7 linked regions of the Bombyx mori genome follow. The protein of the gene in region 4 interacts with the protein of the main gene of each other region in a pairwise test. Links are inferred from orthologs where the notes say so. Each region holds a gene or a part of one and is shown on either strand. Other genes may lie near its edges.

Region 1 (4,924 bases), on a different chromosome or scaffold from region 4:
CTGATAAAGTTGCTTTTTGAGCTGCTGCTAAAGCATTTTGACCCTCTCTGAAAGTGATGCTCAAAGTGTGTTCATCTATAAAACGAACTAAGGTTACTTCACCAAAAGTAGCTAACTCTTGGAGTACAGCAGCCATGACATTATCATCAAATACAGACTCGTCAGTATTAAGGTCTTGTAATGGTTGCACAATTATACAAGCATCAGGAGGACCCAGATCTTTTACTACTTCATAAAAAACTTCCATGCATTTTGTATAGCTGACCTGTAACACTTCTATTTCTAATATTGCTATTACAGGTCTGTGGTCACTTTGTTTCAATTCTGCCCTTCCATAGTGTAGAAGTTTCCCTGCTGATAATTCTGATGTGGTTTCAGGATCAATAGTATATTTTCTGCTTCTCCACAATACACGGTCAGTCCATGCTGGTGCTCTGCATTTTTCACTGGTATCATAATCATCACTAAATAGATCATATTTATAAGTTGGAGGAAATGTAATTTCTCCTTCAAAGCAGTTTTTGAAAACTAAATCTTGTGACTTTTGCTGTAAAAGTTGATCTTGCTCCAAAAGCCTTTGCAAATTATTTTGTGAAGCCAAAAGGCGTACTTCATCTTTATCTAAATCTATACGATAATTAAAATCACCACACCAAAATACATAGTCATGGGAGTACAGAGAGCGACCCATGGGAAATGCAATTTTTCTAGTAATTTCTGTGTAATCAGCATTACGCTCTGTAACTTGTGATTGACCAGCAGCAAAATGTGCACAAACAAAACATAGTGAGGTTCCATAAATTACCATTCTTATTCCCACAGCACCTTTATTCCCAGTAGCCCCTCCAAGTCCAGTCTTAACTGAATCAAGTGCTACATCTCTGATATGCGGTATTAAATCTTTTCTAACAAATATGAATAAACATACTCCAACAAGTTGATGACTAGACAGAAGTGTATAAGATGCATCTCTGCCTAACACTTTTTCCAGTTCCTCACTCCATGCTTTTGCATTATCAGTACTAGCTGCCATAATATTACTAGCATTTAAATCAACTATTTCTTCAAAGCCTATTGCAAATATGTCAGAAGGATGATCCTTCAGATTGACTGTATTTACCAAAGATGAATTTGGACAATCTAATAACCAGTCAGATAATGAAACATCCTTATAAGCAAGACTTCTGAAATGTTTACCACCATTCACATTGTATGTGCCAATAGTTATTCTAAGAGTTGAAGGTTGAGTGAATTCATTCGTTCTACGACACATTTCCCTCAAGATAGCTGTAGAAGTGTGTAGTATGTTAGATGGCAACAGTATTCTTGTGCGGTCTGCCAGTTCAGAGTTTAATGTTGAACCAAGTAATAAAATATCAATTGCTTCTTGCTTTGAGTTGTCTAATAAATTGTTCTGGATAGTCCTGGCAGCAGATCGAGCTCCATCAATTAGTTTGGAGCCTCCTTGAATTGCACCAGTTCCAGCATAAATTTTAGATATTTCATTTCCATTATTCACCCACATCTGTTTGTAAACTTCTTCAAATCTATTAACATTTTGTTTTTTATCAAGACATTGTAGTAGCATTAATTGAACAGCAAGCATTTCTAAACCAATAAATGTCTGAATAGAATTTGTTCTATCTAAGCAATCCAAGCAATTGGTCCTTATAACTCCCTTTTGAATATTATAAATGTCTGACCCTTTTGCACTAAAAATCCCAATCTCATCATAATATTTCTCAATATTCTGTTTAAATTTTGATAGAGCTATCTCTTGGGATGTTGCTCTTACTTCCTGATGATAGTCAAAAACAATTTGTAGGACATCAGAATGTGGAGATTCATTAATGTGTTTCTGGAAAGCATTACTTAATGTTGCCTCACCTTCACTACCCCCAATCATGTTAGATCCAAGCAGATTTACAACTATTACAGATCCATAATTACGCTTTAACTGGGCAAAATGTCTCTCACAAGCACTTGTTGATGCATCATAGCCTCTTGACATTTTTACTTTGTGTGAGCCAACTTGTATTCCAGGTTGTTCCCAAAACAATGGCACAGACCCTCTTGTTTGTATATAAGATGCTACAGAATCATCAATGTAAACAGCTTGTTCAGTTTCTACAAAGTTTGCCACATTTCCATCATCATTACAACCTCGCACATTAAATCTAGTTCCAGCCCTTTCACAACTAAGTCTTGAGACAAGTACAGCCCTAGCTTGACGATGCCCAACATAAATAGTGCGTATTTCTACAGATCCACACATTGCTCGAGTTAGCCACTCATCACAATCTATGCCATATCTGATTAGATGTATGTACAGTGTTCTATTCCAAAAGAACCTATTATCAGGGTTGGCTCCTTTACTTTTTCTTTGGGCACACAGAGTCAAATCAAAAAGATTATCATTGTTTTTGCCAGAATACCAAGAGAAATAAAATGTACCTGAATTAATTAATTTTCGGACTTCCGAAACCTTATCATCACCTTGCGATTGGTAGAACAGTGGCAGAAATTGAGTTTGCGTTATCTTAAATACTTCTAAATCCCCCACTTTACCAACAGAAGAGCATCCGGTGATTAACACAAGATACAGAAGACAGCTTTCACCAGAATTTAGCTGAAGTACTCCAAGACATCCATAAGCGTCTGCAACTTTATGGTATTGTTTCCTTAAAGTTTCTGTTTCTTGCGATGATAAGGAAACAACGGCTTGAGATTCGAAAAGAAGTGCAGTGTCTTTGTTTCTGTGTTGTAATATTATGCTATACGGACTGGGGGGCGATGATTTCTCCAGAACTTTAAAGCCTTTGGACATAGCCATGTTTAGTTTCTATTTGGCGATTATCACGCCATTAGCTTTTAAGATAAGTCAAATAACAATTATAAATTTATATGAGAATAACCGAGACCAATCTTCGACTTGGTGGACAGAATGAATTCAATCAAATCAATCCACCCATAGAATAGTGAATAGTGCTTATCCAATTTAATCTATGCTACTAGTGGTGTGACAAACGGCTTAAAATTGACAAGCGCTTAACACTTTTCAAGTTTTACGTATGCTTTTTGGAATAGCTTTTTAAATCAGGAAATCAGGAAGCTTTCTTATTGTAAACGTACATAGCTTTAAAACAATGGTAAGACGCTTTATTTGTATCGAGTGCTGCGACTAAGCAGGAGTTCAAAACACGCCTGAGTCTTGCGGGTTAGTTAGTTATTTATCAGTTATTAGAAAATATCTAAGTCGAGTTCCATAACGATTTCAACGAGAAAAGAATTGCATTGGAAAATAAAAATCAAATCCGTTAAACTTGTGAATTGCGTAATTACCTACTGGTGTTGGGACATTTTTGAGCTTGCTGAGTTAAAACCCATCGACCTTTATCTATTACTCTATTACTATGGCAGCACACCAGCAATCCGTTCTATATTGATTTACGGTACAATTGAGTCTTGGACCACATGTTACAAGAAAATAAGATTAAAAATGGATGTCATTTTATAATTGAAAAAATATCATTGAAAATACACAACTGTTACAAAAATGAATTTCTAGCATGGTATATTTAAAAATTTATATAATATTCTTATTCCCATACCCATTGTTTTCTGGAATATTAAGCTTCATATATATGAAATGTTTACATCTATCTATGCATTATTACCATCCTCTTAGCACGACTTATAATAACGAACATTAATTTCATGACAACACTGTTTTGATTTGCATTTTCGCCGTTAACGTTGCGGTTAGTACGTTAACGAGACCTACCCAACAATAAAAGTATTACACTAACGATTGGTACACTCACTTTATTTAAAGACAAGTGTTATGTAACAGGCGGAAATCAACTTAACGTTTACTCTATCTAAATTAAATTTGAAACTCTTTTTGGTATGAGGTTACTTTTCAATAGATACTATTAGTACGGTACCTACTTTCATTCAAAGACTACCCAGGTATAATACATTACTTGTCTGCTTTTCGATGATCGACTTCTTCATCTTCTTCTTTATTTTTTGGCTCTGGTACAGTTTGTGCGTTAGCCAGCGTCAAGTAATAAGATTTTTATAATTCGCCCGTTTTAATTAAAACCTTTAAGCTGTAAAGTTTATGAATAATAAAAAACGAAGGAAAAGCAAATTCAGCACAAAAACAGCGTCCGCCAAATTCCAATGTTTCCCGCGTTTTTTTTCTTCTAATAATTTAATGTTGATTTATGTAACGATTGGAACACAACACCACATCGTCGAAGCAATGAGACGATACGGCATTAGGAAGTGAAATGAAATTTATTAAAATGAAACATGGCATGAAATGAGATGAGATATGGGATGAAATATAATCTCAATAAAATGGTGGTAATTTACTGAGACTTTTTGGAGAATCCCGAGAAGCTACGTCCAACTGCTTTGTTTAATTTTACCACATTTTTGCACTTTCACAGATACTAAACAGTAAATAAACCACCGTAATTACTCATTTAAATCTAAAGAAACACTAAATAGATAAAATAAATTAATTCAACAACTTCGCTCCTCGCGTTCCCGCCAAAAAGTCGATGATCGAATTTTTTAAGTACCTACCTATATCGCTTAAAACCACGCTCTGATTACTACGTATCTACTATTCAGTGACACCCACCATCTGGTACCTACCTAATTAAAGATTTTAAACACAATTTAACAAAATGGATTATAGATACCAAAATGAATTTCTAAAGATTTTTTTAATTTATTTCATTGCCTACATTCTAGTGATTTTATAGTGCGTCATTAATTACTCGTACAAAAATAATGCACTTAAATAATATCATTAGGTTAAGCGTATTTATGCGGCCAGTTTTAGTCTTTTAAGGCGTATTTACTTACAAAATTAAATACGCCAATTTTGAATCGTAAACAAGGTCAA
Region 2 (4,248 bases), on a different chromosome or scaffold from region 4:
GGCTGTACGTACCAGCGCGTGCAGCGGCTGCAGCGCTGAGTGCGCGTGCTGCAGGCTCCGGGCGGCGGCTGTACGTACCAGCGCGTGCAGCGGCTGCAGCGCTGAGTGCGCGTGCTGCAGGCTCCGGGCGGCGGCTGTACGTACCAGCGCGTGCAGCGGCTGCAGCGCTGAGTGCGCGTGCTGCAGGCTCCGGGCGGCGGCTGTACGTACCAGCGCGTGCAGCGGCTGCAGCGCTGAGTGCGCGTGCTGCAGGCTCCGGGCGGCGGCTGTACGTACCAGCGCGTGCAGCGGCTGCAGCGCTGAGTGCGCGTGCTGCAGGCTCCGGGCGGCGGCTGTACGTACCAGCGCGTGCAGCGGCTGCAGCGCTGAGTGCGCGTGCTGCAGGCTCCGGGCGGCGGCTGTACGTACCAGCGCGTGCAGCGGCTGCAGCGCTGAGTGCGCGTGCTGCAGGCTCCGGGCGGCGGCTGTACGTACCAGCGCGTGCAGCGGCTGCAGCGCTGAGTGCGCGTGCTGCAGGCTCCGGGCGGCGGCTGTACGTACCAGCGCGTGCAGCGGCTGCAGCGCTGAGTGCGCGTGCTGCAGGCTCCGGGCGGCGGCTGTACGTACCAGCGCGTGCAGCGGCTGCAGCGCTGAGTGCGCGTGCTGCAGGCTCCGGGCGGCGGCTGTACGTACCAGCGCGTGCAGCGGCTGCAGCGCTGAGTGCGCGTGCTGCAGGCTCCGGGCGGCGGCTGTACGTACCAGCGAGTGCAGCGGCTGCAGCGCTGAGTGCGCGTGCTGCAGGCTCCGGGCGGCGGCTGTACGTACCAGCGCGTGCAGCGGCTGCAGCGCTGAGTGCGCGTGCTGCAGGCTCCGGGCGGCGGCTGTACGTACCAGCGCGTCGTTGGGCGTGGCTCCGCGCACGAGGCGCTCCAGGTGCGCGGGCGCGTGCAGCGGCTGCAGCGCTGAGTGCGCGTGCTGCAGCGCTGAGTGCGCGTGCTGCAGGCTCCGGGCGGCGGCTGTACGTACCAGCGCGTGCAGCGGCTGCAGCGCTGAGTGCGCGTGCTGCAGGCTCCGGGCGGCGGCTGTACGTACCAGCGCGTCGTTGGGCGTGGCTCCGCGCACGAGGCGCTCCAGGTGCGCGGGCGCGTGCAGCGGCTGCAGCGCTAACTGCACGTGCGACGCCGCGCCCCGCTCCAGCGCGTCGCAGGCTTCCTCCAGCGCGCGGTAGTGTTCCTCCAGGTGAGAGATCTTGATCTTGGCCTGCACAGAGGAGAGCGGGTCACTCGGCCGCTATTGACAATTTGTTTACTTGTGGGCGAGCGCTGTGGGTGTGCGTTCACACTTTGTATTCGCAGAAATACATGCTCCCATTATTATCAATTAAAACGAAAATATCTTTAAATAAAGTTCTCATTCACGGGCGCGTCTAATGCTTCATGACTTTACCACTGATTCGTGCTGCGGCAAGGGCATTGGGAGGAATCTGCGCGACTTTCTCCGAAAGGACTGACTAATAACAAAGGTGTCTCGTGCCAGAAGAATGCGTATTTGTTAGTGGCGTGAAGGGGCCGCACCTGGCTGAGCGCCAGCACGGCTTGCGGCAGCGCGGCGAGCGCGAGGGTGGCGCGCTCCTGCATGAGGGCGAGGTCATCGGTGAGGGCGCGGTGGCGCGCGGCCAGCGAGAGCGCGGCGGCCCTGCGCGCGCCCACCTCCGCCTCCGTCTCGGCGGCCGCGGCCTCCTGCGCGGCGGCCTGCCCGCGGAGCCGCTCCACCTGCGCCTTCAGGTCCTGCAGCCGCTTCTGCGCCTCGCCCTTCTGGTTCTCTAGTTGCTTTAGCGTCGCCGTCAGCGTCTCCAGCTCGCTCTGCAACAGAAGCGCGGGCTACAGCGCGGCGCGGCGGGGCGCGGCGGGGCGGGGCGCGGCGGGGCGGGGCGGGGCGGGGCGGGTGGCGCGGCGTGCGCGTGGCTGACCTGCAGCGCCTGCGTCTCGGCGTGCGCGGCGGACAGCGCGCGCTGCTTGTCGCCCAGGTCCTGCTCCAGCGCGCGCCGCTCGCGTCCCAGCGCCTCCACCTCGCGCGCCAGTGCCTCGAGCTCTGGCGTGGGCTGCGCGGCGGGGGCGGGCGCGGGGGGCTGCAGGGCGCGCGGCGGGAGGGCGCGGGGCGGGGAGAGTCCGCGCTGGGCGCGCTGCAGGAGGCGCACGCTGGCGGCGAACTGCACGCGGGACAGCTTGCCGGCGCCGTCCGCGTCGCACAGCGCCCTGCAGGCGACGCTCGCACTTAACATTTACACGAACAAACGGATGCGTTCACTCAGTTTGTAAATATTACTTGCTTCACAGCATTACTCAGCATATAGCTTTGCTATTATTTTAGTTTGTCTAAAGGTTTCACTTGTTTTTGTTTTAATTGGCTATCTGTTTCCTGTCTGATATTCTATTAAGATAATCTAAATTGTTGGTTTCTTTGAAATAAAAAAATTAAAAATTAAGTAATTAGTCGAGGCGGCGGTGCGCATGTAGGGACAGTACAATACAGGTTGCTGACCATATGCGCGCGAGAGTGTGCTGCGGCAGGCCCGAGGTGAGGAACACGTGCTTGATCTCGTCCCCGGACACGAACCCGTCCCGGTCGCGGTCGGCGGCGGCGAACTGCGGCTCCAGCGCCGCCAGCTCCGCCTCGCTCACGGGCTCCCAGCGCTCGTCCGCCGCGCCGCCCCCCGCGCCGCCCGCCAGGACTTGTGCGGCATCCTGGACACGAGGATTATGCCAAATTAAATTAATGAACAAAGGACAATGCCCAAAAGTGGGTCAACTTTATGTCAAAACTATTTGTACTTGAAAAACTATGCCTTATTTTTTCACGTTGTTTAGTTTATGTATCAACATTTCTTTCAACCTGGCATTGTTTTCCAAAAAAATAAATTACTTATTTGATAACATCCCAAAACTGAGTGCCATAGTTTTTAAATTCGCCAATAGGCAAAGGGCTTAGCCCATACAGCCTTATAGCAAACCTATATGCTATCAAACGAAAGAGTTGTTTGTGACATGAACAACAAATTAAAACAAAATAGCTAATGCTTATAATTCACAGGCTTCTTAGTTTATTTTTGTTCAATTCAATATTTATATATTGTAATAATAATTATTACTTAAAACCATGAGTTATTTTATTTAATATTTTTAGATATTAATGATTCCATTAGTAAAAATATCAATGGCCTACCATTACTCTATTCTTATTATATATGATCAGAGAGTTTTGGCAGCAACCCGGGTGAAACGTCGCGTCACTTGAATTTTTATTTTAATGTTTTTTTAATAGTTTATTGTGTAATTTGTATTATTGTATTTGTAATATTGTGTATAAAAGGTCTGCGTAGTGCTCATGCTCAGCCTCAGTCAATGTGGTATTCGTCGAGTTGAACTCAAAACTCCCAAAAAGCAATAAAAAGAGATACACCGGCTTTTTATTGACATAAAAAATATATAACTTCGACAGACTAGGCTGTATAGGCTACACTCTTTGCCTGCTTATTGGTGAATTTAAAAACAACAACAACAATATCGTTGCCGGCTTCCGGATTTTCATTTCATTTTATTATTATTATGAGGATATAATAATAATAAAATGTACGTAAGGGCTTATTTCTAGCAACATTAAGCACAATTAACTTATTTAATACTGTAAATAATTATGAGAGCGATTATTGATTTCGAAGAAAACAATTAACAACTTAATTTTAGCTGCAGAAAAAAACAGATTTCTCTTAAACCTGGGTGACAATATAAAAATAGTTTTATGAATATGAAACGATATTTTTTTGTCTATCAAAATAAGTTAAAACCATCATGACAGGACAACTTTTTTTAGGGGCCCAAACGCCCATAGAAAATGGGCATTGTCCTTTTGTGTATTTATTTCTGGATTAGCTATTACCCGCAGCTTCACCCGCGGTTAAGGAAAAGTCTCAGTGTAGTTTTCCGTGGGATTGAGAAGTTTTCTCGGGATAAGGGTAGCCCTAACATAATACTGTCACTTCAAAAAATCATGTCGATCCGCTGTTCGTTTGGACGCAAGAAAAGGAGAAACAAACACACTTTCACATTTAAAAAAATTAGTATGGATATTATTGTTGTACGCGTTTCATTGTGTTTTTCATGAAAGTGTTGTCAAACGATGATTTTTTATATTTAAGTTTCTTTAAGTTTAAAAAAATGAGTTGACATACCTCTGATAAGTCGAGTAGGCCCTCGAGTAGATCAGCATTAG
Region 3 (3,216 bases), on a different chromosome or scaffold from region 4:
CCGCCCTCCACTGAGGACGGAGGGCGGGGCATGCCGGAGTCGAACTGACTAAACCTCCTGTCACTCAATAACCCACGTCCAAACCTCGCATGACACAGAAGTCATGAAAAGACAAAGGGGGGAGTGTGAAGGGAAAGTGAAGCGTTTAGTGCGGAGCACATCTCTCCCATCACCCTCCCCCTCGGGACGCCGGACGGGCGGTCGTCCTCTTGCTAGGGCTAGTGTTATTAAGTTCTCTCAGACTGAGCCCTGTGAGTTTTCCAAACAAACGCAAGATTAATTACCATTTATTTATTAAATCAAATACGTTAAACCTTTGTTTGTACTTAAATAACGTCATTATATGTTTTATTTAAACAAATAGCTTAGCCTATATCTTTATATTCCTACTCTGTGTACTATTCAAATTTTTATGACCTTTTATAATTTCAACTCAAAGAAGGTAAGTAGTCATGACTTGAGCATTTTTAAGGTTCATTTATCAATGCGGTGTATAATATGATACTCAGGTCGCAGAAACAAGTAAAAAATGTTTATTTTAATAAATAATGAACATTTGTGAAGGGGTGACGTTGATAAATGGATGAAAGAGGTTCATGTCACAGGAAAATTTTTTTTTAGGCATCGGCTCCACCTTCTTTCTGCCACTGTTGATGTCAACGCCTTAAAAAGCGATAACATTTTCAATTAATTACTAAAAAATAACTGCAGTGAATATTTAAAATATATTTCAAGGTATTTATAAAATTTGTTAATATTTTCTAAACTTTTTTTTTAAAGTAATGGTTATTGAATTGCGCTAAGTAATCGAATACAGTTCATATTGGAATAATAAAAGAAACACGTAGAAATTAATTTAAAGTCTCACTCGAGTAACTCAAGTAAGTAAAATAAGTTTTGCTCAAGTAAAATAGACATTAAAACGTAATAATTTATTAGTACTTATAGTTTATGGACGAATACAACAAATATCAAAAGTTGTTTGAAATTGAGTGTTGTTGTTACATCTTGTCACTTTTACTTCCACTTTAATGTTATTAAACACAATATATATTATTTAGATAATATAAATTACTTAAACAAATAATAAAAGTATAAAAATAATGTTAGTTTTAATTTTAATTGAACGATCTCTTGTAGTATCGTTTATATTTCGATTATTCTTAGTCTGGTAGAAGAGCAAAGAGTCATCGTAACATTATAAATAAATAGTGTTTTAAATGTAGCTTGATTGCGGGACAGTTGTTGAAGAATAGGCTTAGGTGAATAAAACTAATTTTATTTCTTTTCGTACGTCCTAGAATATAGTTTTTCAAACGGAATTTATGACAACTGTCCCCAATATCGTGCTATGTTTAACGTACTATAACAATTGTGAGAAAATTACATACTATTGTTAATACTAATAAATATACTACCTATACTAGTAATAATAGTAAAAATAAAATGCAGTAGTAATATTTACTACTAATTTTAATGACATTCAGCTTAAAGTAATTATAGTCATATATGTATAATCGCAGAATGTACTGAAAAAAACAATTTCAGTCAAACATTTTCATCTCTTAAATGTCAAATTAAGGGTGTTTCTCCGCTACACTGGCTAGCTCCACTCCGTTGGATAGGCACTCTTAATGTAATCTACGTTTTAAAATTAAACATTAACAATAGGATGCATCTTCGTCGATTCCTGGGAGGTACTCCATCATGAGACTTCGACTTTCTCTCGTACTTTCCTCAGGATGCTCTGAAGCTCTGATGCCGAGGTCGTCTTGTACTGGAACAAATACATCATTATCATCATTATCAAACATATTATATTTCATACAAGTAGGTATATGAATACTGTCTAAAAAAATAATTGGAAATTCAATTCTATGGTGCATGAACATAAATTAACAAATTTAGGAAATATAATTAGAACGATCCAAATTGTAACATTATCATAACTATTGGACTAGTGGTCAAAATTCGACCATAATTAATTTAAATTATAAATTAGAAAATTACTATGGTTTATTATCAAAAACTATACTTCTACAATTAAAGGTTTCGCCAAGGTTACGCTATAGACTAATAATATAAAGACAAACAATATTAATAAATTCTCAATTAGACCACAGACTTTAACAAGACTTTTTGGCGGGAACGCGAGGAATGAAGTTGTATGATTTGTTTTATTTTGTCTATTTAGTGTTTCTTCAGGTTTAAATATGTAATAACGCTGGTTTATTAACTGATTAGTATCTGTGAAAGTGCACAAATGTGGGAAAATGAAACAAAGCCGCTGAACGTAGCTACTGGGGATACTCCAAAAAGTCCACTGAAAAAATCTCAGTAAATGACCACCATTTTACTGATATTATATTTCATCCAATATCATCACATCTCATCTCAACTCATTTCATTTCATCTCATTTAATTTAATTTCGTTTTCATTTCATTTCATTTCATGCCATGTTTCATATTAATCAGCCTCATTTCATTTCATATAATATCATTTTTCATGTAAAGAAGTTTTTATTAAAATTAAAATAACGCTAGACCTAAAGTTCTTAGTTACCAGGTCATAAAATCCCTTAAAAAAATACTTTAACAATAAACAAAAGAGTAAAATGCATGTGTGGGTCAAATACATGGTAGTGTGTGTAATGTTTTATTTATTGATTTAATGTATTTTTTGTTTAAAATTAAAAAAAAAAATTAGCATGTTGCACTCCTCTATATTCTCTATAAGTGTGGGAAATTTCATAATCCTCCTTCCGCGCAATCTTCGTAAAAAGGGGTACAAAGTTCACGTTCACGTATTAACATATTTAGATTTAAAGAGTTTCAAGATTTTATCATTATGCTATTTTATGTTTTTGGATCTCATCCTCCAAACTCTGACGCGAGATTATCTGGTTAAGGCAAATGGATGTGAGATGATGCAGTGCAAATCGTCAGAGGCTTAATATCTAAAGCTATGACAGCCTCACCGTGGACTCCACTCACCCCAGACACGTTCCTCTGGACCAAAATTTGGCTGTACAGTCGTTTCCCCTCATCCTGGCCCAGTGCCCTCTCCAGCTGAGATCTGGACAGCGCGAATAGCTGGTGTCCCGACATCCTCAGCTGGCGTTGGGCGGCATTGCTGAAACCCTTTGCTTCGAGCCATTCCACAACCTCGTCCGGATTCGATTTCTGAAATAGTTTTTTTTTTTATTGCGCTTGTAG
Region 4 (4,710 bases):
TCCCTATCAATTAAACAGCTATGCATTGATTGATGATTTGCAGTAGATTATTGTTCTCTAAAGCTGCAGCAACTCTTTCCTTGTCCGCTAACTGTTTGTTGACCGCATGTTCGGAAGCGTGAGAGCCCTCCGATACTTGTACGGTCACTTTGAAACGGCTTGGCAGAGCTCGGAGTAGTTGAACTCGTATTGAAAGACCTGAAATAAAAATCAAATCTCATTAATTAAGCTTGCAGTACTTTTTTCCGGAAGCTTCACAACTTTAATTAGAACTATAACAGAACAGATTATCTACAAAAGTGTTTAACTGCACTAGGGGAATGAACAAGCTCACAGCTCTCATAGTTTATAGCCATTACAGATGTCCGTGGACATCACATTGGGACAACTGCCACCCATCTTGAGTCCTGAACTCGAAGTTTGAGCAACTCGAAGTTTGAGCCCTATTTTAAAATTACTCTCTCTTAAGCAAAAACAATAATGGTTCAAATTGGGAATAGGCTAGACAGTAGTGACTATTCCGTGGACAAAATATCAGACTAACGCATCCATATTAAAACAGCTCAATATCCAAAGGCTTTCTATCGTCTGCTTCAGGAAGATATTTGAGTTCTTCGATCATATTGGCCGAAAGAGAGGTGACAATTTTGAAATATAACTGGCGAGATCTTTTCAACTGCCTAAGATGAGAGATGAGAGATAAGAGTTTACGGTAACCCATTATCAATCCATTGAAAATGGTCAGCGGTAGACTGCACTTTAGTTGCACCCCTGAAATTGCTACCTTCCATGAGGGACTGTAGCTACTCCCCACCAAGCGGGCTGTATGATCGTCTACCCACGCAATTAAAAAAAGGAAGCTGTTCGTTGGCTGGGCATGAATGTTTATTTGCTTGCCAATAAAAAAACATTAGTATGATAATATTAATTTAGAAATATTGGCTGTTCCACCATTATCGGTGTGCGTTGGTTATGTGTGTGTTACTCTCTCATTAACTATAGGTTTTAATGCTAAAAAAAGTACGTACCTATCAGAGTCGCCATACTGCAATGGGGAATTGTCGGTGTAAAATTGACTAATACAGTACTATCATCGTTATTAACGATTATATTCTTCTCTTCCACCACCCTGAGCTCCTCGAGTGTCAATGGGTGTTCAGGATCATTTATATTTCGTATTAAATCAAATATTTCGCGATCATCAAATTCATCTTGCAAGTCTTCGTCGCGTTCCGAAGAAGTGATCTCCCGTTCTGAACCCTTCTCGTAAATGTGAGGGTTGATGTTATCCGCTGTTTTGGTCATTTTATAAGTTCGAACTTTTTATTATATCAATTCGTTCTACTCAAAATATATTTTTTGGTACAATTTTTCCTTATTATGAAAGGCAAGGGGATCTAAGCCCATACAGCCTTTCTACTCAAAATAATAACTCACTTCTATCTCTATCTCTTTTTTTTAGGAATTTTATGACATGGTAACTAAGATCTTTAAGTCATATCTTATTTTAGTTTATATTCTTAATTTTATGAAAAATGACAGACGCTGCTAATGTAATTCATATCTACTTACACAGAATAATAATGGCCAACATAGACAGTTTCCTTCGTTTTTTATTATTTATAAACGGCAAAATAATTAATAATTGACACTGGCTAATGCACAAACCGAGCGAGCCACAATAAAAAAATTAACTGTCAAAAACCAAATTTCGATTTTGACAGTTGCACCCAATCAAAAAATCAATACTTTATCTAGAACTTTGAGGGGTTTTACTCGATCCTTTTTCAGGAGGATCAGTCTTAAATCTATTCTCTTAGGTCAAACAACAGTTAAAGTAAGTAATACATTATGTAATTCCCTAGAATTTAATTCCTAAATATTTGTTTTAGTTCGCAGACACACCCCCTGCCTGTTGGTACCAAAAGAGTAGTAGTACTTATTATTAATTTATTGAACAACGTTGATTTTAACAAAAAAATGTATTGAATATTAGTGCTTAAGGTATCTTTAAACTTTATCCGGGTCACGGAGTTATAAAACAACGAGCTAGCAATATTAAAAAATTAAGAACATTATCTTGAACTGCTCTACCAATTGTAGTATTCTAATACTTATTGTATGTTGAGTTACTTATTGTATGTGACACACGTCTGTACGTCGAGCAAATATTTTAAATAGAACTTAGGTACATCTTTAATAGATTTAGAGAAGTGATAAAATATAGGAAAAATTTAGAAGTCTACTTTTCACTTGATTAATCAAGGCTTTTTCGTACTTTATCATGACCTACCATATTGGAGACATTCTATTCATACAATTTGGCTAAAGACACCGCTCCTGATTGTCGGGAAAAAGTTAACAAAAACATGTTGCAATGTCTATTGTTTAAAATCAAACAAATTTTTTTAATAGTACAACATAAACCTTAAACCGTGATATGCATTTCTTTTTTTAAATTTGATAAACCAAGATATGCAGAAACATGCTCATAATAAGATATTATCTGATGGTTTATCTAGTTCAATATTATAACTTAATATAGATATATTCACCTGTTCTAATATTAACTTCCCAAAGGAAGCATTGTTTGATTTCCAAAGACAACATTAAATATACAATGCCAAATTAAAATATTCTCAAAATTACTGCATTAATGTCAATCAAAATGTTGAAAATTAAACAATGAAAAAGGATTAGGATTTTTCTATGATTATAAATTTAGGCTTCCTGTAATGAAGACTGCATACATACTAAGAGGTATATCTTTTTTTAGGTTCAAAGAAACGTCTTTAATTCAGAAATGATGGCGGACCCGTGGACTATACAAGCACATGAGCATGCGAAGTTCTCGGAGCACTTTAGAAACCTTGGACCTGTCAATGGAAATTTGACGGGCGAACAAGCTAAAAGATTCATGTTACAGGTCAGTTAATTTGCGTATTTATTATAAATCTAGAACTTTTTTTTTTTATTGTCCTTGTAGGCAGATGGGCATACGGCCCACCTGATGGTGAGTGGTTACCGTCGCCCATGGACTTCAGCAATGCCAGGGGCAGAGCCAAGCCGCTGCCCTACTGCTGCCTAAAGTTAACTCAAATTTGTATGGATATGGAACAGCGCCCCTAGCGACCAACGTAGGCAAACGTTCCAACTCCAAACAATTTTTTTTTTTCATATTTATTTCGTTTCATATAAATTTGAGTTAACTTTTACGCGATCGAGAACGTTAAAACACTCGCACTAAACACACGAGATGGAATAAAGAGTAAATTAGGCTACTTCTATTTTAGAGAAATTCTAAAATTATTTTTACACGCTGGGGTTCGGGATAAATAAAATTTCCACAAATACAACCACAGTACAAATTAAACACCTAAAATACTTCGTAATTCGCTTTTTCCGCTTCGCTTCAGGTGATCCGTTCGCTGTTTCGCTTCGAGTAGTTCCGATTTCTGGCAAGTCGAGTCGTGTGGATATCTGTTTCCGTTATCTGACAATAGATGGCGTTGTACTTCCCGAGCGTTCTCGAGTTTACTAGTTCCTTTGATATTCACTTCTGCCATTCGACAACAGATGGCGTTGCTCTTATCGGCGTAACATTATTATAGAATAAAGTAATATTTTTTTAATTCCACGCAGACGAATTCGCGGGCACAGCTAGTTTAAAATAAGTTTTGTTTGTCTTTCTGTTCACAGTCTCAGCTTCCTCCACCGGTCTTGGGACAAATATGGTCACTGGCGGACACGAACGCCGACGGTAAGCTGGATTTGAAGGAGTTCTCTATAGCTTGCAAGGTGAGTTTCTGTGTAGTCTTCATAATTTGCGAATGTGCCAACGTCCGTATCCGGTTGAAAAATCGCTCATTAAAAATAACGATGTTAGGATATCGATATTTCCAAAAGTGAAACATCGATATAAAAAACATCGGTTCTTATGGACTATATATACATATATTTATTATATAGAAGCTTTTTTTAAATTTTTGCAAATAAAGTAACCTTTTTTTCGATCATAATCGATGTTCTATCGTACACAGACATAGGACGCCACCTTATGTTCTATCCGTGATCTTTTTTTTATTGCTTAGATGAGTGGACAATCTCACAGCCCACCTGGTGTTAAATGGTTACTGGAGCTCATAGGACATCTATAACGTAAATTCCACCACAAACCTTGAGATATGAGTTCTAAGGTCTCAGTATAGTTACAACGGCTGCGCCAACCTTCAATGCGAAACGCATTACTGCTTCACGGCGGAAATAGGTAGGGTGGTGGTGCCTACCCGTGCGGACTCACAAGACATCCTACCACCAGTAAAATTGTGTGTTCATTACAGATTATAAACTTGAAACTGCGCGGCTTAGAGGTGCCGAAGATGCTTCCACCATCTCTGATCGCCTCTTTAAGCCCCACAGGTGAGTCTCAAGTCTCGTTCGCCCGGTGGAATGTGACCGGGATCCCGGTGGGATAATCACGGGTATTTATGTAATGATACGGAATATTCCAGAATTAATGAACAATAAAATACTTAATTACTTTTCCTGTAATAATACTAAGAAATATTAATACGTGAAGCAAAAACTTTACCCCTTTTTTTACGAAAATCACGCGGACGGAGGAGTTTTCAAACTACCCACACTTATAGAGAATAAAGAGAAGGAGTGCAGAATGTTAATATTTTTTTTCTAAATTATGCATAAAAATAC
Region 5 (4,248 bases), on a different chromosome or scaffold from region 4:
ACGAATCGATATTATTTGTTAAAATAGGTCATTTATGGGCAGGATAGGGTAGTTTTCAATCTGTTCATACCTGGTAGAATATAAATGCTTATATTAACCCTTCTTGAAAATAATTACTTTTAAATCATAATTAGTTGGTACATCAACAATAACGCTAAAGACGAACACATCCGGTAGTTGCCGTTGGATTGTGTGTTTTGCATGCAATGTAACAAAATAAAGAAATCAGCTGACACGCGCGGTCATTGACCTCGACGGAACGCTGGTCCGTCCGCAGCTGTTTTCTGTGCGCTTAAAAAAACGACAAGTATTATAATTCTAAATAATGAACAAAGTAGCTGATGTTTATTAATTTATCGACAGAATGATTCAGACTTTGCAAACCGATTTTGAACGCACCATCGAAGGTTCCGGATCGGCGCAGATCAACACCAACGAATTGTCCGGTGGCGCTAAGATCAACAGGCTTTTCCACGAACGTTTTCCTTTTGAAATTGTCAAAATGGAGTTTGACGAAAAGGAACTGCGCCGCGAGATCGCGTTCGCCATTCGAAATATCCACGGTATCCGAGTAAGTCAACTATATTTTTAACCATTTGACTGAACGCACTGAAGCAATTATGAAGCGATTTCTGTTACTAAGGCGCCGAAACATCTAGTATTTTTATGGCAATTATATGTGAATAAGCTTACAACGCTTCTGGTGTTTGGCGATGCCTGGAACTCATAGCCGTCATCCACCTTGAGATGTTAAGTTTATGTATTTATAATTGTCATTCGACACGAAATAGACATCTGTAGAAATTTAATTTGCATAAGTCATATTGAGATAGTTTACAAGGTGGGTTCGTTGAATTTCGCTAAGTATCAACTTAATTGTTTTGATAGGTGGGTTTGTTCACACCGGATATGGCGTTTGAGGCTATCGTGAAAAAGCAGATCGGACGTCTGAAGGAGCCGTGCCTGAAGTGCGTCGATCTGGTTGTGCAGGAGCTGTCCAACGTTGTACGGATTTGCACCGAACGAGTATGTAACATAATTCGATAACGTAATTAAATTTTACAACAGCAATACATTATTATTATTATTTTATTGCTTAGTTTACTTTAGTATTTTTACTGGTGGTAGGACGTCTTGTGGTAGGTACCACCACCCTGTCTATTTCTGCCGTGAAGCAATAATGCGTTTCGGTTTGAAGGGCGGGGCAGACGTTGTAACTATACTGAGACCTTAGAAACTTATATCTCAAGGTGGATGGCGCATTTACGTTTTAGATGTCTATGGGCTTCAGTAACCACTTAATACCAGGTGGGCGGTGAGCTCGTCCACCCATCTAAGCAATAGAAAAAAAATAGTTGGAAATATTTATGAGGTTTTGGCACATGGCAAAGTAGTTACTGGAGTTCATAGACACCGCAGGGTTAATGCTGACAGCCAAGGTTTGTATAAAAAAAAAACTACATCTAAGCTTATTAATATTGTTCTTTAATTGCAGAACACATACATACAACAAATGTATTTAGACGCTAGCCACAACGTAGCATACGGCAGTCCTTAACGTAGAAATGTTTGGTTTTGAAAAACGTGAATACTCTCAGAATTTTAATACGTTTAGTTGAAGATGTTGGTCTTTGTTGTCTGTTTTGATTAGCACGGTGAGGTGACCATAAATTTGGAAAGATATTTTTAGTGAAATCAGCCCGAACCTAGTTATTTTTCTTTTTATCTATCACATCTTCAAAAAAAAATCGGTAGACTATATACGTTCTCATGAATACAGACACGTCATCTCGGATCCTCCCGATCCATTAGCGGTGCTTTTAGGTACCTCAAGCACCGGTCATCGTTCTCGTCGAACCCGTCGCTTGCGACGAAGGGCTCGGCGAGTAAATTAACTCACAGACACAGCCCACTGAGTTTCTCGCCGGATCTTCTCAGTGGGTCGCGTTTTCGATCCAGTGGTAGATTCTGCGAAGCACTGCTCTTGCTAGGGTTCGTGTTAGCAACAACGTCAGGATTGAGCCCCGTGAGCTCACCTACTAGCCCGGTGACGCTGACATACTTCTCTAGGCTAGGCTTCTCTAGACCATCAGATTAGGTAGGAAAAAAAAATGAATACGCCATGACAGGGTAATGAAGCACATGCATCTATTAGTAGACAAGCTGTACCCATCTGCTTCGCTGGGCATTTAAAATTAACATTATTATTTTTCACCCCCACAAAGATTCTCATCATTAACGCCCTCGCAACTGGTGTAGGGAGTTCAACACTCATATAAATATTAGCCCATCCCTTAAAGTACATGTATTTTTTACATGGATACCAATTCTCAAGTCAATCGGATGCATGGTTCAGTAGTTACAACGGAACATCCGTAAAAACCACTGTAGATTTATATATTAGTATAAATACAACAACAACATAATCACACAAAACATTAATCTTATTTGACATACAATTTACAGATGTCTCGTTACCCGCGCCTGCGCGAAGAGACGGAGCGCATCATAATGTCGCACGTGCGCTCGCGGGAGCAGATGTGCAAGGATCAGCTGGTGCTGCTCATCGACTGCGAACTGGCTTATATGAATACCAATCATGAAGATTTCATTGGATTCGCGAAGTTAGTAAAATATATTTATATTTTGAATTAAGAAATGAGAACATCCCTTTTAAAGATAAATGATGTTGAATTGTTGACGGATTTCTCTTCTTCTCGTCTTGTATTTTATATTACATATTTTCTTTTCGGCAACAGCGCACAAAATCAGTCTGAGAACTCTGCGAAGTCAGGACATCGAGCGCTCGGAAATCAGGTGATCCGAAAAGGATACATGTGCATTCACAATCTGGGAATTATGAAGGGTAGGTTTTTTTCTTAAATCGTTATATGCATTAGTTGATATGTCCGATTTCTGCTTTATTATGTAATATAAATTAATTTTAATATTTTCGGCTGTGTGGCATAGAAAATCATGGCAATTGTTCCCACGGGTTTCCTTTAAGGCGACTAAGGCCTAGGCCGCACTACGGTGAAACCGCAGCGGCTATTAACCGTGTGAGTTTACGAAACACGAAAACGAATATAAGCGGCCGCACTTGCGGTTCCTTCCCGCGACTGATTTTAAAACCGCGAAATGTTTCAAAATTGTTGCGGAAAAAAACCGCAACAAAATTTATAATCCATAGAACTAGGTATCCGTGCACGCACTATGCGTAACCGCGGGCGGTTTTTTGAAATGTCAAATACATTTGCGAAATTTTGTTTCCATCAACTGACATCCGATAGTAATTGAAAAAAATCTCTAAGTGTTTTCTTACATTTTGATATTTCTTATGAAAGAAACCTTTCTCAAATCTACGGCTAGTAAGTAGATGGACCCATCGTTTGTGAAATTTTCGTTGTCGTTTTTTCTATTTCTTAGTACCAGAGCAACACTACATACTGGCTCTTTTGAAATTTATCCATCTGCAAACTGTGAAAATCGCGGGCAAATTCGCGGTTAATAATTGTAGTGTGTGAGTCTGAAGCGGTTTCGCGGTTATAGCGGTTAACCGCTCACGGGAAAAAACCGTAGTGCGGCCTAGGCCTAAGGGATTCCCCGTAGAGTGAACAGCAGTGTTCTCTGAGTATTATAAGTATTTTATAAGAGTTTAAATTTCATGCTAGACACGGAGCCTATAGTTAGAGATATGTTGTCAAAGTTTTGTGTGTTACGCTAAGTCTATATTTTATGTCTCTCATACACATAAATAAAAAAATTTAATTGTTATAATGATCTTAGAGATTTATACATAACAAATATATTTTATTTATCTTTACCTAAAAGTATATACATATAAATTTACAGTGGTTTTTACGGATGTTCCGTTATAACCACTGAACCATGCATCCGATTGACTTGAAACTTGGTATCCATGTAGAAATTAAATGCACTTAATGGATAGGCTAATATTTATTATGTGGGGTGAGAAATAATAATGTTAATTTTAAATTAAAAACAGCTAACCTTTACTAGTTATATTGTTTTTTAAATTTTATAAGACACTACACGTTCCTCTCCACTGCCTTATGATTCGATTTTTTTGTAAAGTTTTGAATTTAATTTGAAAATTTATAGGAGGTTCCCGCGACTACTGGTTCGTACTGACTTCTGAGAGCATCTCGTGGTACAAGGATGAAGAGGAGCGGGAGAAGAAGTACATGTTGCCCCTCGACGGGCTCAAGTTGAGAGATCTCGAGCAGG
Region 6 (4,733 bases), on a different chromosome or scaffold from region 4:
ATTTAGCGTGCTTGCGAGTTTTTTAACGTTCTCGATAGCGTAAAAGTTAACTCAATTTTGTATGGAGTCGGAACGTTTGCCTACGTTAGCCGCTAGGGACGCTGTTTCAACTGCATACAATTATGAGTTAACTTTTACGTTATCGAGAACGTTAAAAACTCGCTTTTTTTTTTCTACCTAAGCTGGTAGCCTGGAACGGCTATTCCAGCATAACCGTAACTAGTAGGTGAGCTCACGGGGCTCAAACCTGACGACGATGCTAACACGAACCCTAGTAAGTCGTGCTTCGCAGAAACTACCACCGGATCGGAATCGCGACCTACTGAGAAGATCCGGCGAGAAACTCAGTGGGCTGTGTCCGAGAGTTAATTTACTCGTCGAGCCCTTCGTCGCAAGCGACGGGTTCGACGAGAACGGTGACCGGTGCTGGAAGTATCTAGAAGCACCGTTAGTGGATCGGGAGGATCCGAGATGCCGTGTTTTGGGCGACGTAGACTGCTTTCCATTCTGTCCAGAAACTCGCACTAAGCACACAGCCTACCTGGTGTTAAATTGTTACTGGAGACCATAGACATCTACAACGTAAACGCGCCACCCACCTTGATATATAAGTTCTAAGGTCTAAGTATAGTTACAACGGCTGCCCCAGCCTTCAAACCGAAACGCATTACTGCTTCACGGTAGAATTCCAACTTCTAATAATATTAAAAAAATGGTCCAACTTCTACTATTGTTAAAGAAAATTGACCTTACTACAACTACGACTAAAGTATGTTTTTATTTTGTCACGTACGGAACGTATCCCTTATAATACCATATATGTACACACACATATATCGAGGGGTGAAAGAAAGGCCATTTGTGTATTAAGCGACATTTTTGTAACTTTACAGAAGAACAATTTAAAGTTTAAAAGTTGGAGAGAAAAAAAAAGCTTAGTCTAAGTCAGTGATGTCCACGGACAGCTGAGGATTCACAACCTCAGAATAGGTACCTATTGTAATGTATTTTGGCGGTAATTTGTCAAAACAAAATTGTTCTAAATTATACATAACATACCTCCACGTATCTCATGTTATCCTGGTACTTTTACTCCTAATTACTTTTTTTTATTGTCCTTGTAGGCAGACGAGCTTACGGCCCACCTGATGGTGAGTGGTCACCGTCGCCCATGGACTACAGCAATGTCAGGGGCAGAGCTAAACTGCTGCCTACCATTAAGTACTCTCGACAAGCATCGTTTGAAGAAGGACATGTCATGGCGCTCGAGAAACACCGTGGAGGGGAGCTCATTCCAAAGTCGGATGGTGCGTAGCAGAAAAAATTATTAAACTGACAGATGAAACTATCTTGTTTAATATCTCCTCGCAGATCATGGTTTCCTGGTAACTTGTGACTATATTACTATTTTAGCCGGCGGCCCGATTGATGTTAAGTGGTTGCCGGACCGTTTTCTTTATTGCCCTTGCAGTCAGACGAGCATACGGCCCATCTGATGGTGAGTGATCACCGTCGCCCATGGACCTCAGCCAATGTTAGAAATCGGACAGACATCATCACGAATGTCAGACTCCCATCTCAAGATGTGCGCTACACTTTAAAATATGTTAACTAGCTACCGCTATTGTGGGAGAGTGCAATTACCACCAGTAAATTTGGTTCGTTTTACGTTACAATACTAAGAGATTGCTGTTGTCCATTCTCTGGTGAATCCTTTAATTTCTCTCAGGTTGAGCCCGACCGGGCGTAGCTGGAATAGCCTCTTAGACTACTAACGAATAAATAGACAAAGAATCCTACAGTCTTTTACCACGTCCCGGGGAGAGACGAGATGGTATTCGAGGATACCACGCCCTGGCTTCTATTAGATTACCCGCCAGATCTTCTCCGTGGGTCGCGATTCCGATCCGGTGGTAGATTAAGAGAAGCTCTGCCCTCGCTTGGGCCAGTGTTAGCAAATCCTCTTAGATTGGGCCCGTGAAGAACCTACATATACATAGGTTTAAGAAAACTATTAAAGAACGTCTGTGCAATAAAGCTTACTATAAAGTCAATGATTATCTAGAAGATTGCACAAAGTGGGAATGAGTTGCTCGCTCCGGGCATTTCAATATTGCAATAATTGTTATGTTATAATACTCATTGTAAAAAAAAATATAAAAAAAAAATCTAATACATATTTAAAAAAAAGACAATATGCCCGCTGAGTTTCTTGCCAGTTCTTCTCAGGACGGAGGCTAGTTTTTGTGAATTGGCGGTAGTTCTTTTTGACGTTTATCAAGTATGTATGTTGAATAATTTTTTTTTTATTTGATTTGATTGTGAGCTCACCTACCCGTCAAGGCGTAGCTGGAATAGCTTCTTAGACTATCAGGAAATAGGTCGGGAAAAAAGCTATTTCCTTCCTACCCCTTCCAAATCGAACAATTATTAAATGTTAAAACAATTAGTAAGCTGACCGACCATATCGTTAAAATACCTCCATAAAGAATTATAATTGCATCAAATGATTTCCCTAATGTGGGTGATTAAAATTAAATTAATGCATTGTTAATTTAATGGCCGTTAAATTTTCATTATAAATCTTTAAAGGTGATCTTTTGTTGTATGAACAAAGCAGAGATTATTAGCTTCTGAAGCCCACATGATCCAAGTTGATGGAATCACAATAACTTCAACGGCACGGGACAGACATCCCACGCATTTCGGCCACTAATCAATCGGTAGTTTCATCACACTTTATATTTCTATTAAACAGAGGGTAATTACTTAACCCACAGACACAGCCCACTGAGTTTCTCGTCGGATTTTCTCAGTGGGTCGCGTTTCCGATCCGGTAGTAGATTTAGCGACTGCTCTTGCTAGGGCTAGTGTTAGCAACGTCGTCAAGTTAGAGTCCCGTGAGCTCACCCACTCTAGCATGGCCCCTAGAAGTTACTAGAATAAGTAGGAAAAAACAAAAAAAAAAGGGTAGTTATATTACAATCGCTCACCTAAGCCTATTTTCTTTTTGATTTTCTTCAAAACTTTCATTTTCGATCCTTTTTTGTCTTTCACCGGGGTAGTCTCCGGCTCCGTCATGGCCATCGGAGGTAGGACCAAGGTCTGAGGGGGCATCTGTCCTGAAGACCTGGGGCAGGCCGGGCAGTGGCACACACCTCTGGCCTGCCGAACGCTAACACAACCACCAACGCCCATCATTTAAACGATTTAACTTGATATTTACGTGGGACAGTTTAATTCATCACTTTTTAACTTTTGATTATTTTATTATTATTATTTATTTACGCGGCGGCTGCGATCGCTCACGACGCGACACGACAACCAACTGACTACTACGAAGCGTAACGCTCGACTGACGCCGCGGGGACGTCGGGAAAGCTGCGCGCGCATACAAAACGTGCCCTTAGCGTTTGTCTCTTTCGCACGCACTATATTAAAGCGAGACGCAAGAGAGCAGTTGCGTTATTACAGTCGCTCCACACTTCACGCTTCAGGTGAGCCGTGAACTCTACTGTATATTTTTTTTTAATTTTTTTTTTAATATACTGCCATTACTTTTGGACAGTGTCTTCATGTATTGAATTAATTTTATTTCATTCAACAACAACAACGGCCCGGAGATCATTAGGAGATGCTTTTTTTTTATACAAGACTAAAGAAACTATTAACTATTGAGACCTTAGAACTTATATCTCAAGGTGGGTGGGGCATTTATGTCGTAGATGTCTATGTCCAGTAACCACTTAACACCAGTTAGGCTGTGAGCTCGTCCACCCATCCAAACAATAAAAAAAACCTCAAAACAGCACTAGTTAAATTTTTGATTCGCAGAATTTGAAGCAAACGAATCCACTGGACGCTTCGCGTTTTCGAAATACGAACGAAAAATAACGCCCTGCCGTTACATAATAATATACTATAAGAATTATATTTTGGTAGACAGCGGCTTGGCTTTGCTCGTGCTATTGCTGATGTCCCATTCCCGATCCTGCGGAAAGAATGGAAAGCAGTCGACGTCGCCCCAGACACGTCATTTCGGATCTTCCCGATCCACTAACGGTGCTTTTAGGTACCTCAAACGCCGGTCACCGTTTTCGTCGAACCCGTGGCTCGACGAGTAAATTAACCCACAGACACAGCCCACTGAGTTTCTCGCCGGATCTTCTCAGTGGGTCGCGTTTCCGATCCGGTGGTAGATTCTGCGAAGCGCGACTCTTGCTAGGGTTCGTGTTAGCAACGCCGTCAGGTTTAAGCCCCGTGAGCTCACCTACTAGTTAAGGTTCCGCTGAAGTAGCCTCTCAAGACTCTCAGCTTGGGTAGGAAAAAAAAAAGCTGATGTCCGTGAGCGACGGAAACCACTCACCATCAGGTGGGCCATTTGCTCGTCTGCAAAAACTACTCTGCAAGGTCAATAAAAAAAAATCATGTTCATTTACGCTCATTAAAAAAAACCCAAAGAGAATGTCGAATTTTGTATACATTAATTGTCCTGTAAGGTTAAGCTGATAATAACTCGTAGTTTATAGGTAAAAAAACAATGAGTGCCATTCTATTTTATTCATAAGCCGCTTCATCGCTTGTATACGGTAAAATTAGAAAAATAAAAAATAAAAAAAAAGTAACACTGTTCCGCCCCAAACGTACTCTATGTAGTTTAAGTCCAATTCAAAAAATGTCTAGACCTTAAGTAATCTGTTTTTTAAAAACATAGAATATCATCTTTAATTTAA
Region 7 (4,138 bases), on a different chromosome or scaffold from region 4:
AAATTTTGTAGTCATTCTATTTTTTTTATATATATATTATATATATTATTATATATATTATAATTTTGTAGTCTAGCGTATTCTATTTCGTTTCTAATTAGTCAAAAACTTTTCGTTCCAAACTTCCTCCGAAAATTTTTGTCTCTTGCCAGTAAATTTACCATTGTGGTTCGTATATTAGCGATTGTGTATCATTATACACTTCAATGCGTTGTGTTCATATATTATTATGTGTTTTTGTCAAATGGGTAGGTAGTTTGATAAAAATATAGGTCGATTACAATAGGTCTTAATTAAAATCAATAGGTCGGTAGGCAGCGGCTTGGCTCTGCCCCTGGCATTGCTGAAGTCCATGGGCAACGGTAACCACTCACCATCAGGTGGGCCGTATGCTCGTCTGCCTCCAAGGGCAATAAAAAAAAACAAAAACAAAATTAGACTTCCATCTTATAACTCAACATGGCGGCCTTCACTATTATATCTATGGTAACCATTTATAACAATACCCTAGTACACCTAAAGTGCAATCTTAAACAGTGAGACAGGCTTTTTGCTTGATTCATAAGTATGATTTTGATTGTCAGGTACCTATCAAATGTACACTATTTACTTACTTCATAAAATTAGGGAGTTCAATAAAACAAGCGGTTGTTTTAATATGTATATGTAATATTACAATAAATAAATTTTAAAACAGTTACGCAGTTAAATAATATGTAACTACTCGTAGTACAAAATTTATTTCTTTCGCTAATCGGGTGAGGTAATCGTGATATCTATGTTCTAAGTACATGCTGAACAATTAACATTTCTATTTATTTAAAACGATTTTTTCTGAAATGTTAGAAACAAATATAATATATTTTAAAGATATACGTATTACAAAAGCTTTATTTGATTCTGTTAGCTTTTTTGAACTTTAAACTGTTCAAATTTTGTCTTAATTGTACTTTGTAATTACTTTTGTACATACAGCTTTCACAACAATATTAATAAACATCAGAATTTATTATGAATTGTATTTATTGTAAAGTTCGTTGTACTGGTAATAATCATTAAACAAGTGGCGACATCTGTGCTCTGCACAGAGAACTACTAGAGTGTTCTGTATCGCGCTAATGATATTTATCGCTAAGTTCACTTCACTTAGAGGCAACACTGGCAGATCTTCCAAGAATGTAGTTAACTATATCAATATATTTACTTACTCTAATACAGCACAATTAACATGTTTATTGGATTACAATATTCATATATTATTAGGCACATATAATATCACTACGTCTATATTAAATTAATATGAGACTAGTTAGTTGCTCGCCTAATTCTAAGATTATATTAATATGATGTAGTATTAATTATAATTATATTAAAACATAACATCGTTAATTGTACTTGGTGAAAACGAAGCGTATTTGAAAATGATAATCTTTGAAATGTTGCATTAAAAACGTTTAAAGCATAAATACATCGTTACTATGTACTTAAATACAACAAGTTAATTTATATGAACTTAGATAAATATAATAGATTAAGTTTGATTACAACAAGGTTTTTTTTTTTTAAATAACGACTGTAGCTTTTTTGTATTTTCTCTCGAACGAAAAATGTTCATTATAGAATGTCCCTCTTCTGAACATTTCCCAGCAGAGCCTGAAAGTATTAAATGTTGCATTTAAAATTATTATTATATTAGTTCACACGTCATTCATTCAACGATAATGTCGAGGGATGAATACCTATTTGGTTGAAGCAACATATTTGCAACTTTACAAGATGGCTGTTGAAAGTATAAAATTTGAAAAAAATATCAAAACAAAAAAACGTCGTTCAGATACTTGAATAGAATAAGCTTAACTGAAATTCAATTAAAAAAAACCATCGAACTGTTGATGGTAATACCAAATAAAACGCACCTTTAATTACAAAGATAAATGTCGCGTATTAAGTGAAATCTCGCTTAAATCAACTGCCTTTCACCCCTCATTCGTTCATATTGATTTAGTTAAGAGATGATCGGAATCTATAACTGAACGCGCCATCACTCGCTTCGAAACGAGGTCCAAGTCTTAATTGTGTACGTAGTTTTTTTCGTTGCTTAGATGGGTGAACGAGCTCACAGTTCACCTGGTGTTAAGTGGTTACTGGAGCCCATAGAATTCTTTAACGTAAATGCGCCACCCACCTTGAGATATAAGTTCTAAGTTTTCAGTATAGTTACAACGGCTGCTCCACCCTTCAAACCGAAACGCATTACTGCTTCACGGCAGAAATAGGCAGGGCGGTGGTACCTACCCGGGCGGACTCAAGAGGTCCTACCACCAGTATAAAAATTGTTAAAACAAACCTTGTTAACAAAGTTGACGATGGCAGTAGCCGGCTGCTCAGGTTCGAGTTCGGCGAACACGTGGCACTGGTTGTCTTGCCCTGATGCGGACCGAGCGACGAATGCGAATATCCGTCTAAAACAAACAGGGTGATAGGAGCTTATCGTCGTTGTCAAACCAAAATCTGCTATTTTCGAAGCTGGGTGTAATGATTCCGCTGTACAAAGCAAGGAGGCCAGCACTGCGTGAACAAGAGTGTCAGTACAAGAAAGCGCTGGAAAGTGAGATTACTCTGATTTCCTTGTGGTCGAGCTGGGAACAAGAGGAACGATCTCGTTTGCTTTCTAAATATTTTTGGTATCCTCAACGACGATTTGGCCTTTATGACAAAGACGCAAAGTGCTCTATGCTTTGTTATTAATGACAACGACTGAATCGGTTACGTTCTCAAGTTGAATCATGTTTGAGTGCCCAGACTCAATATGGCCGACATGGTGTATGTTAGTCGAGGTCTGGACAGTGTGCCAACCATCGGTCCGGCGTCTCGAGAGGACTAATCGAGGTGAGTGGACATTGACAATCTAGTCAATCTCCTAATTGCGCGTTTTGCGCTGACGGGTAACAAGGCAATGAGTGGCGAAAATATCGGATTGAGTCGAAGCGCGTTCGACTCCCACACATCATTTCTTATTCTCAAAACGTGAGATGGTCCTTCTGACCCATACAATAAATCGTCTTCTCGCATTAATACTATCTAATCTCAAAACTTATTAATTTTACAGGAGAGTGTTTTAAAGGTTTAAAATATGTGATATTTTTAATATTAATCATCTTTGCAACATTTATTTTTTATTTTCTACCAGTTACATATCACTGGCCGACATCATTTTCCTTGTTCAAGTTCTGATTATTTTTTTCCACTAATTTGGTAGTGCTGATCACGAAATTATACCTCATTTTATCGTATCACATCAGGTTTTTAAAAAAGTTAAGACATTAGCTATTTTAAATTTTTTGATTAAAATAAATTAAATTTTAGATTTTGGCGCTCTTTTCTCGAATCGTGCGACCTCTCGTGAGGAAATATATTTGTTGCAACAACGACACACCCATTCGAAACAGGTTACATGCAAATAAACCTGTACAGTTACTTTGTTTATAAACTTTTTACTGAAATTAGTGTGTTTATTTAAAAAAAATCTTACGTTTTACTTATATATATATATATATATTTTTTTTATAGCTTTTTTACTTATATACAAAATTTCCATGCTTCTTGTGCGAGTGGGACAGTAGAGCACGAGACAAGCACTACGTTCAAAAATGATGGAATCCTCGTAAAAATCTCAAACTAGGAACAAAAAACGTTATACGAAAAATATAATTAGTCCTGAAAAAAATTTACTACCTCCGCTTCATATCAAACTCGGTATGATGAAAGAGTTCGTTAAAGCATTGGATAAAAACAATGCTAGTTTTGAATACCTGTGTAAAAAAATTCCAAGATTATCTGATGCAAAAATTAAAGAAGCAGTGTTTGATGGACCGCAATTCAGATCTTTGATGGCTGATGAAAAATTTGATGCCACAATGAATAACACTGAATCAGATGCTTGGCTGGCGTTCAAAGATGTTGTCAACAATTTTCTAGGAAATAATAAACATCCCGACTATAAAAATAAGGTTGCAAACTTATTGGATAAGTATCAAAAATTGGGGTGTAATATGAGCATAAAACTCCACTTTTTAGATTCACATGTGGAATTTTTTCCTGATAATCTTGGTGATTACAGTGAAGAGCAGGGAGAAAG

The links.
Region 1: the proteins of intersectin-1 (region 4) and synaptojanin-1 interact in a two-hybrid assay, tested with the Caenorhabditis elegans proteins (2 studies listed by BioGRID). The link is inferred for Bombyx mori from reciprocal best matches to the Caenorhabditis elegans genes itsn-1 and unc-26.
Region 2: the proteins of intersectin-1 (region 4) and epidermal growth factor receptor substrate 15-like 1 interact in a two-hybrid assay, tested with the Caenorhabditis elegans proteins (3 studies listed by BioGRID). The link is inferred for Bombyx mori from reciprocal best matches to the Caenorhabditis elegans genes itsn-1 and ehs-1.
Region 3: the proteins of intersectin-1 (region 4) and epidermal growth factor receptor kinase substrate 8-like protein 1 interact in a two-hybrid assay, tested with the Caenorhabditis elegans proteins (2 studies listed by BioGRID). The link is inferred for Bombyx mori from reciprocal best matches to the Caenorhabditis elegans genes itsn-1 and eps-8.
Region 5: the proteins of intersectin-1 (region 4) and dynamin interact in a two-hybrid assay, tested with the Caenorhabditis elegans proteins (2 studies listed by BioGRID). The link is inferred for Bombyx mori from reciprocal best matches to the Caenorhabditis elegans genes itsn-1 and dyn-1.
Region 6: the proteins of intersectin-1 (region 4) and protein neuralized interact in a two-hybrid assay, tested with the Caenorhabditis elegans proteins (2 studies listed by BioGRID). The link is inferred for Bombyx mori from reciprocal best matches to the Caenorhabditis elegans genes itsn-1 and F10D7.5.
Region 7: the proteins of intersectin-1 (region 4) and tensin-1 interact in a two-hybrid assay, tested with the Caenorhabditis elegans proteins (2 studies listed by BioGRID). The link is inferred for Bombyx mori from reciprocal best matches to the Caenorhabditis elegans genes itsn-1 and tns-1.

Annotation. Positions count from the first base shown.
Region 1 is NC_085118.1:11,390,744-11,395,667, forward strand, and holds the start of synaptojanin-1, read right to left. Parts: upstream 3,405-4,924; 5' UTR 2,834-3,404; coding exon 1-2,833. UniProt on the Caenorhabditis elegans protein: Probable inositol 5-phosphatase which regulates synaptic vesicle recycling in neurons by regulating clathrin-mediated endocytosis.
Region 2 is NC_085125.1:116,854-121,101, forward strand, and holds part of epidermal growth factor receptor substrate 15-like 1, read right to left. Parts: coding exon 4,208-4,248; intron 2,724-4,207; coding exon 2,521-2,723; intron 2,235-2,520; coding exon 1,949-2,234; intron 1,842-1,948; coding exon 1,554-1,841; intron 1,240-1,553; coding exon 1,072-1,239; intron 1-1,071.
Region 3 is NC_085133.1:7,052,383-7,055,598, reverse strand, and holds the end of epidermal growth factor receptor kinase substrate 8-like protein 1, read right to left. Parts: intron 3,184-3,216; coding exon 2,979-3,183; intron 1,778-2,978; coding exon 1,662-1,777; 3' UTR 918-1,661; downstream 1-917.
Region 4 is NC_085117.1:634,365-639,074, reverse strand, and holds the start of intersectin-1, read left to right. Parts: upstream 1-1,702; 5' UTR 1,703-1,837; intron 1,838-2,776; 5' UTR 2,777-2,803; coding exon 2,804-2,926; intron 2,927-3,699; coding exon 3,700-3,798; intron 3,799-4,340; coding exon 4,341-4,419; intron 4,420-4,710. Other genes in the region: MIP18 family protein galla-2, read right to left, coding at 11-198, 1,029-1,305.
Region 5 is NC_085121.1:5,672,677-5,676,924, forward strand, and holds part of dynamin, read left to right. Parts: intron 1-363; coding exon 364-571; intron 572-888; coding exon 889-1,026; intron 1,027-2,466; coding exon 2,467-2,624; intron 2,625-2,759; coding exon 2,760-2,866; intron 2,867-4,122; coding exon 4,123-4,248.
Region 6 is NC_085130.1:17,968,249-17,972,981, reverse strand, and holds the start of protein neuralized, read right to left. Parts: upstream 3,371-4,733; 5' UTR 3,202-3,370; coding exon 2,994-3,201; intron 1-2,993.
Region 7 is NC_085110.1:9,862,405-9,866,542, reverse strand, and holds the end of tensin-1, read right to left. Parts: intron 2,463-4,138; coding exon 2,348-2,462; intron 1,654-2,347; coding exon 1,615-1,653; 3' UTR 649-1,614; downstream 1-648. UniProt on the Caenorhabditis elegans protein: Probable phosphatase which regulates axon regeneration after injury by linking the svh-2 and integrin signaling pathways.